2 linked regions of the Cricetulus griseus genome follow. The protein of the gene in region 2 interacts with the protein of the main gene of each other region in a pairwise test. Links are inferred from orthologs where the notes say so. Each region holds a gene or a part of one and is shown on either strand. Other genes may lie near its edges.

The links.
Region 1: the proteins of Znf410 (region 2) and Sertad1 interact in binary tests that used the Homo sapiens proteins (3 or more experiments, as listed by UniProt). The two-hybrid records come from large-scale screens. The link is inferred for Cricetulus griseus from reciprocal best matches to the Homo sapiens genes ZNF410 and SERTAD1.

The regions. Positions count from the first base shown.
Region 1 is NC_048602.1:8,436,495-8,440,241, forward strand, and holds the start of Sertad1 (SERTA domain-containing protein 1), read right to left. Parts: upstream 2,417-3,747; 5' UTR 2,283-2,416; intron 1,688-2,282; exon of another isoform or gene 1,593-1,687; intron 259-1,592; exon of another isoform or gene 1-258. UniProt on the Homo sapiens protein: Acts at E2F-responsive promoters as coregulator to integrate signals provided by PHD- and/or bromodomain-containing transcription factors. Stimulates E2F1/TFDP1 transcriptional activity.
Region 2 is NC_048598.1:119,438,602-119,442,248, forward strand, and holds part of Znf410 (zinc finger protein 410), read right to left. Parts: intron 684-3,647; coding exon 558-683; intron 1-557. UniProt on the Homo sapiens protein: Transcription factor that binds to the sequence motif 5'-CATCCCATAATA-3', and is specifically required to silence expression of fetal hemoglobin in adult erythroid cells.

The DNA.
Region 1 (3,747 bases), on a different chromosome or scaffold from region 2:
GCCACCACGCTTGGTATACTGGATGCTGGGGATGGAACTCAGGGCTTCCTGCATGTAAAGCAAACATTCCACCAACTGAGCCTGCTCAGTAAAGTTCTAAGAAACAGCTAACATCTACATTGTAAGTTGCTATATGGATTAGATTAACAAAAGAATAAAAAGCCCTTGCATCATGGTCTTTAGAACTTTCAAATTTTACTTTTATTTTATTTTTATTTTCTGGTTTTTCAAGACAAGGTTTCTCTGTATTGCTTTGGAGCCTGTCCTGGAACTCACTCTGTAGACCAGGCTGGCCTTGAACTCAGAGATCCGCCTGCCTCTGCCTCCCGAGTGCTGGGATTAAAGGCATGAGCTACAAATGCCTGGCTAATTTTACTTTTATTTTAAATTTTGTGGTGTGTGTGTGTGTATATGCACGAGAGTGTAGATGCCCAAGGAAGCCACCTGTTGGAGTCCCTGGAGCTGGAGTTACAGCAATTATAAGCCATTCCATTTGGGTGCTGGGAATCTCTTGCGTCCTCTGTAGCAATAGCAAGCTCTTTTTTTGGGGGGGTGGGGTGCAGTTTTGAGACAGGGTTTCTCTGTGGCTTTGGAGGCTGTCCTGGAACTAGCAATAGCAAGCTCTTAACAACCATAACTAGTATTTATTTGTAAGTACTTTTTGGTTTTGCTCTTTTTTATTATTTATTTATTTATTTATTTTGGTTTTTCGAGACAGGGCTTCTCTGTAGCTTTGGAGCCGGTCCTGGAACTCACTCTATAGATCAGGCTGGCCTCAAAACTCTAGAGATCTGCCTGCCTCTGCCTCCTGAGTGCTGGGATTAAAGATGTGTGGCAGTGCCTGGATGGTTTTGCTCCAGGTTTTGTGACAGGGCCTCACACTGTAGTTAGTCCAGGCTGGCTGGCTATCCCAGGCAGTCCTTCTGCCCCAGCCTCCCAAGGGTTAGGATTACAGGTAGGTGCCGCCTCTTGGCTGGAAATGCAGCCTACTTGTACAGTTCAAGGCATAGAATGTCTGCTTGGCATCAAACATTATTTAATCCAATAGAGGGAATGCACAGATAGCGATAGGAGGTACTTTGGGCAGTTTCTGTAAAGGAGATACTTCGGATCTGATGTAGGCAGTGTAGACGACAGCTATGGAGAACCAGGGGCCGGGCATTCCCGGAAGAGCCAATGGAAGACCGAGAGAGGCAAATCTTAACCGGGGAAGGGAAAAAAAAGAAAAAAGAAAAAAGAAAACCCACACAAGGAGCAAGCGCACAGAGTGACACGGTAGGAGTCCCGGTGGGGGTGGGGAGCAGGCGGGGGGGGGGGAGGCGGCTTGGATTTTCAGAGTGACAGGACAGAGTCCTCCGGGGAGGCAGGAGGGTCGAGCAGGGGGCCGAAGGCGACGTTTCGCTGACGCCGGGGGCGGGCGGGCGGGCTGCCGGTGGGGCAGCATCGGGGAGAGAGAGGGTGAGCGGGGTGGGGGCGGCCGGGGCACTGACGGCTGGAGTTTGGGGGAGCCCGAGCTGCTAAGCACAAGGAAGCGGCGGCCCCTGGAGTTAGCGGGGAGAGCCGGGGGGCCGCGGGGCTCGGCCACTGAGTACCCAAGTTTGGAGAAATCCACACTTCCTTCCATGCGGCGAGGAGACCGGAGTCTGGGACCCCGGAGTGGCATCTCGGGGGGCGGGGGGGGGGACACAAAGGATCGGGGGGGAAGGGGGGGAGGCTCAGCCCTGGGGACGCTGCCTAGACAGCCCCAACAAGACCCCGGAGTCTTGGCTCGCCCTTCCCGCTCGCCCTTTGCGCGCAGACCCTCGGCAGGCAACCGCAGGAATTCAGCCCCCGCCTCGACTCCGCCCCCGGGCGCAGGCGCCCCCTAGCGGCAGCCCGGCCAGGGCTTCCCCGGGGACTCCGGCCCCTCAGACCCGGGGCCCCGGCGAGCCGCGACCCCCGCGGGCCGCCCAGAGCCTTCCCTGGCTTCCGGAAGGCGGCAGCGCAGCAGCGGCGGCAGCGGCGGCGCGGCGGCGGCGGGGCGGGTGAGTCACGCAGCCGGAGCCAGGGAGCCTGCGCCTCCGCCCCCTTCTCCGGCTCCGGCGTGATTCACTCAGTCCGGCCCGGACGGGCGTCACGTTCAGGCCCCGGGCGCCCGCCCGGATCCCGGACAACCCCGGCGAACATCTCCCCAACCGGGGGATCGAACACGCTAAAAACACCTCGGGCCGTCGGTACTCCCACCCTCCCCCGCCTCTCTCCTCCCACCCCCCCACCACCACCGGGCCCCCTCATTTACATACCCAGATCACTCGCGGCCAATCAGAACGAAGAGGGAGCCACACGCAGCCAATCAGGAAGCGGCAGCAGGCGCATCGCTCGGCTCGCCCGGCTCCCGCAACCGCCGGCGCCCGGGACGGGAGACGCTGCTCTGACTCCGGCGCACGACTCCGGCCACTCCACAATCCTTAGTTCCCGCCCACTCGCGTGGCGGCCCCGCCCTCCCGCCCAGGGCTCGGCTCTCATTGGTGGGGGTGGGCGGAGCCTGCGGGGGGGCCGTCCCCAAGGGAGGGGAGGCGGTCCTTAAAGCGCATGCCCGGGAGCTCTCCCGGAGCCCTGAAACTAGTAGCGATTTCTCCTTACTGGGCGGGGTGACAGGTAGGGGCTTCGGAGGTTTTTTAAGGCTCAGGCGGATCACTTTGTGAGCTTGGAGAGAGGGATGAGTTCTGGGAGAGGGACGCGGTTTATTAAATCGACCTTCCTCTTGAGAGCTACCGTGTTAAGAGTGTTGTCTCCAGCCGGGCTCCGCTCTAATTAAAGACGGGAGTAAGGTGGACATGGAATAATGGCATGAGGGTCACATCCTGGACATCAGTGCCTCCGGAGTAGCGGCGTGACTTTGGACAACAGGCTAAAGCCCTCAAAATCTGTTTCCTTTCGGAGTGTGGTTGTTCACAAACCATAATCCCAGCGTGGGAAGACTGAAGCAGGGGCATTGCTGGGAGTTTGAAGCCAGACTGAGTTCCAGGCCAGCCTGGGCTTCAGAGTGAGATCCTGTCTCAAAAGAAGAAAGGGCGAAATTTTTTGTTTGTTTGTTTTGTATTTTTCTGAGACAGTTTCACCAAGTTGCTCAACTTAGCCTGGAATACAAAGCAATCATCTTTCCTCAGCCCCTCAAGTAACTGGAATTAGGGGATTTTTTTTTTTATTTTATTTTTTTGAGACAGGGTTTCTCTGAGTAGCCCTGGCTGTCCTGGAACTCCCTCTGTACACCAGGCTGGCCTCGAGCTCACAGAGATTCACTTGCCTCTGCCTCAGAGTGCTGGGATTAAAGCCCTAAGCTCCACAGCTGGCCTTTAACTAGTCTTAAAGATGCCAGGGGAGATGCAGTTCAGCGAAAGAGTGCTTGCCTAGCATTCCGTCATGTTAAACACCTGTGTTTGATTACAGCACTGAAGAAAAAAAAAAAAAAAGCCTGATGATTTACTAAGAGTAGAGTAGAATGTTTAGGTGCTTATTGGTTAAAAGCACTTGCTCAGGGCTGGAGAGACGGCTCAGAGGTTAAGAGCACTGGCTGCTCTTCCTGGAGACTGGGTTCAATTTCCAGCATCCAGCTCACAACTGTCTGTTCCTCCAGCTGCAGGGGATCTGACACCCTCGCACAGACGTACATGGAAGCAATGCAACAATGCACATAAAATAAAAATAAATAAATTATTAGAAGCACTTGCTCTCAAAGAGGACCAGGTTCAGTTCCTAGCACTCACG
Region 2 (3,647 bases):
GGGTCTCAAGTAGTGCAGGCTGGCCTCAAACTTACTACATAGTTAGGCTGGCCTGTTGATCTTCTACCTCTACCTCTCATTTGCTGGGATTAAAGACCACCTAAGACAGTGATCTTAACTATGTTGCCCAGATTGTGCTCCCTCCTCAGCCTTCCAAGTGGATGTACAGGCATTATTTGTTTTGTGCATGTGTACACACATGTTCACACACCTTTTTCTGTGGTGTTTAAACCCAGGGTCTTACATGTGCTAAGCAAGCACTCTACTGCTGAGCTGCTTGCAAACCCCTTAGTGGAACTTATAATAGTATGTGCTCTGGGATTTACAACTCATCTCATTTATCAAGTTCCTTTATTGTGAGGGGAGGAACACAAACAATAAGGAAATATATGTTTTGAAAGTTTGCAGATGATTATACTATACAGCTGTTACAAACTATGAATTCATCAAATGAAACCAAGTCTCTCTACCCTAAACCTAACTATATCTCCAAATAGCCAAGCAGTCCAATGACTTGGCTGTTTAACACAGTTCTCCACTCTGACCATTCTCCTCACCAGGTTGTTCCTGTTCTTGACTCCCAGATGCTCCCAGCTGCAAGTGATGCTTTCTCATGTGAACATTTCTGCTCCCACTCTGAGAAAAGGTCTTGCCACAGACTTGGCACTGATGAGGTTTCTCTCCTGCAAAAAGAACTATGTTAAGATAGGACAGCCCAAAATTTCTGATGGCCATCAAGTAGACAGAAGACTTAGGGCTCCTCTTTGGCACACAACCTCTGTACACAGGGAAGGCAGGACAGCCACCCCAGGAGGGCTTAGCACACACTTTGGCTCCAGTCCTACTTCTGGACCAAAGTCCTGCTAGCCTTCCAAACAGCCTCCTCGGTGTGGCACCATGGCACCTGCACAACATAATTATTTACTTTTTCAATAGTCTTCCCCCAAACATCAGAATTCATATCTACCTCAAGGTTCATTACAACCTTGGGTTCCTAAAATTGCACATTTGCCAACAACTCTTTTAACATAAATGACCTGAACTACAATGTCTGTTTTATAAGTCTCCAACAGTCTTCATTCACCTACCATGACAACCAGCCTCAGAACAAAGCTCAAAAGCTGATTTCCATGGACACTCATGTTCCCAGGGGCCAGGCAGGTGGATAAAGGAGTAAAATAGGGAATGCTTCCCCAGTACAAGGGCAGCTGCTATTCACTTCTGACCAGTGTTGCCATGTGTAGACAGAAGCCTTGTTCTGCCAGATTTTTTTTTTCTTGTAAGAAGGAGGATTTAAATAAAATCTTCCAACTTGCAAATACTGGGAACCAATTTACTGGTAAAAACATTAAGGTAGCAATTTTCTTTCTTCTTCATCTTTTTTTTTTTTTTCTCCTCAAGACAGGGTTTCTTTGTATTGTTTTGGAGGTTATCCTAGAATTCACTCTGTAGACCAGGCTGGCCTCGAACTCACAGAGGCCCACCTGCCTCTGCCTCCTGAGTGCTGGGATTAAAGGCATGTGCCACCAATGCCTGGCTAGGTAGCAATTTTCATTGCTGATGAGAATGCAAAAAAAAAAATGACATCCATGGTTGGTAATCTGACATTACCCAGACACAATACAGATGTTTTTATCCTTCATCTAGGAGTCCTACCTCTGTAAATCTGCCTTTAAGTTACAACAGGAAATAACCTACACAAAGGTTATTTATTGCAGCACAATTTTAAATGGCTAACAATTAGACAAACCCAAGTAAGTGTCTCACAGATTAAAGTTATGTGCCTATAATCCTTAGGAGACTAAAGGCAGGAGAGTTAAAAAAAAAAATGTTGAAAGCCAACATGGGCAAGTTCTAGGCCACTCTGAACTACAGCTGAAACCTCCATTTCTATTCTTTTATTTTCTTTTAGGTATATATTACAGACATCTCACTCTGTAGGCCCAGCTAATCTGGAACTCACTATACAGCCCAAGCTAGCTTCAAATTCATGGCACTCCTTTTCTATCAGCCTCTGGGTGCTATGCAATATACTACCAGGCTTTCCAAAAGCCTTATTTTAAAAAAGCCACAAACAGCTGAATGTGATGGTACATGCCTTTAATCCCAGAACCTGAGTGGTTCAGTGATTCAGTGAAGAGTGGAATTTATATTGATACCAGGTCAATATAGAGAGTGTCTCAAAAGGAAAACAAAACAAAACAAACATCTCCTGGAACTGGAGTTACAGGAGGGTTGAGACACCTGATGTGGTGCTGAAAACTGAACCTGGTCCTCTGGAAGGACAGCAGTAGTGCTCTCGTAACTCCTGGGACATCTCTCCAGCCCTCTGTTTGATGTCTGCCATTTTTACTTGGAACTTGTCATCATATAAAAACTGCTTAGAAGCTGGAGACAAAGCTCAACTGGTAAAATACTTGCCTAGCATGTACAAAGCCCACACTTGCAGTCCCAACACCTGGGAGGTGGAGGCAGGATGATCAGAAGGTCAGTATAATCCTGTGCTACCTAAGACCTGTCTCAACAAACGAAAAACAAAACATCTGCAGCACTGAGACTATGAAATTCCCATCCCTGACTGACTAGTCATCTCCATATCCCGAACTCTCACTGAAGTGCTTTATGGTCTTCATCAAAACCAGTCTTTCTGCCTCCACCTCCTCAGTGCGTTCTGTTTGGGGGAGTGGGAAAGGAGGGAAGAGAAATAAGTATCAATTTAGATTTTTCTATTTAGCCTACAAAGTCTGGCTGCTAAAGAATATTTTCAGAAAGTTTGAAAGACATTTTTGTCAGGGGAGATTGTCATCTGCATAGAATGAGCAAGTCAACACAATTGCATGGAATTTAATAATACAAAGCAAAAAGCAGATCACTAGGTCTTTTCTTCTACACTGCTGGCTGCCATGAAGCCCCAGTAGGCAAAGGCAGTTTCTGTTGGAACGGTGACTGAAGCAGGACCACCAGTGCCTTCTCAGAAGACAGGAATATCACAGCTCTTGCTACCACTGACATCAGTCTTCCCATTTTGCTCTGGATTTTCAAATCCTCCAAAGGAATGAAAATGTCAATACAGGTTCCATATCAAATTTAACATATAGGGCTGGAGAGATGGCTCAGTGGTTAAGAGCACAGACTGCTCTTCCAGAGGTCCTGAGTTCAATTCTCAGCAACCACATGGTGGCTCACAACATAAAGATCTGGTGCCCTCTTCTGGTGTGCAGATATACATGGAAGCAGAATGTTGTACACAAATAAACAAATATATATATATATATACACATATATATGTACATATATATATATACATATATATTTGTATTTATATAAAAAGACCAATAATAGCAGTATGTTATGCATCAATAGCAGCAACAGCTTTTCCAGGTTCTGCAGTCATTTGAACAAAATTGTAGAGACATCCAGCACACTCCACTTAAAAAAAAACAAAACAAAAAAACAAAAAGCAAAAAACAAAGTCCCAGAAAACAGCACAGTTCTGTTACTCTTGTGGTACCTGGCACCATTTTTTTTTTTTAATTAGCTTCTTAATTATCATCTGGAAGGAAACCATTCTGAGCAACATCATTAAAAACAGCTCTGATAAAGCACAGTCACTGGTATGTATCATAAAGCAGGTCCACATATGAGTG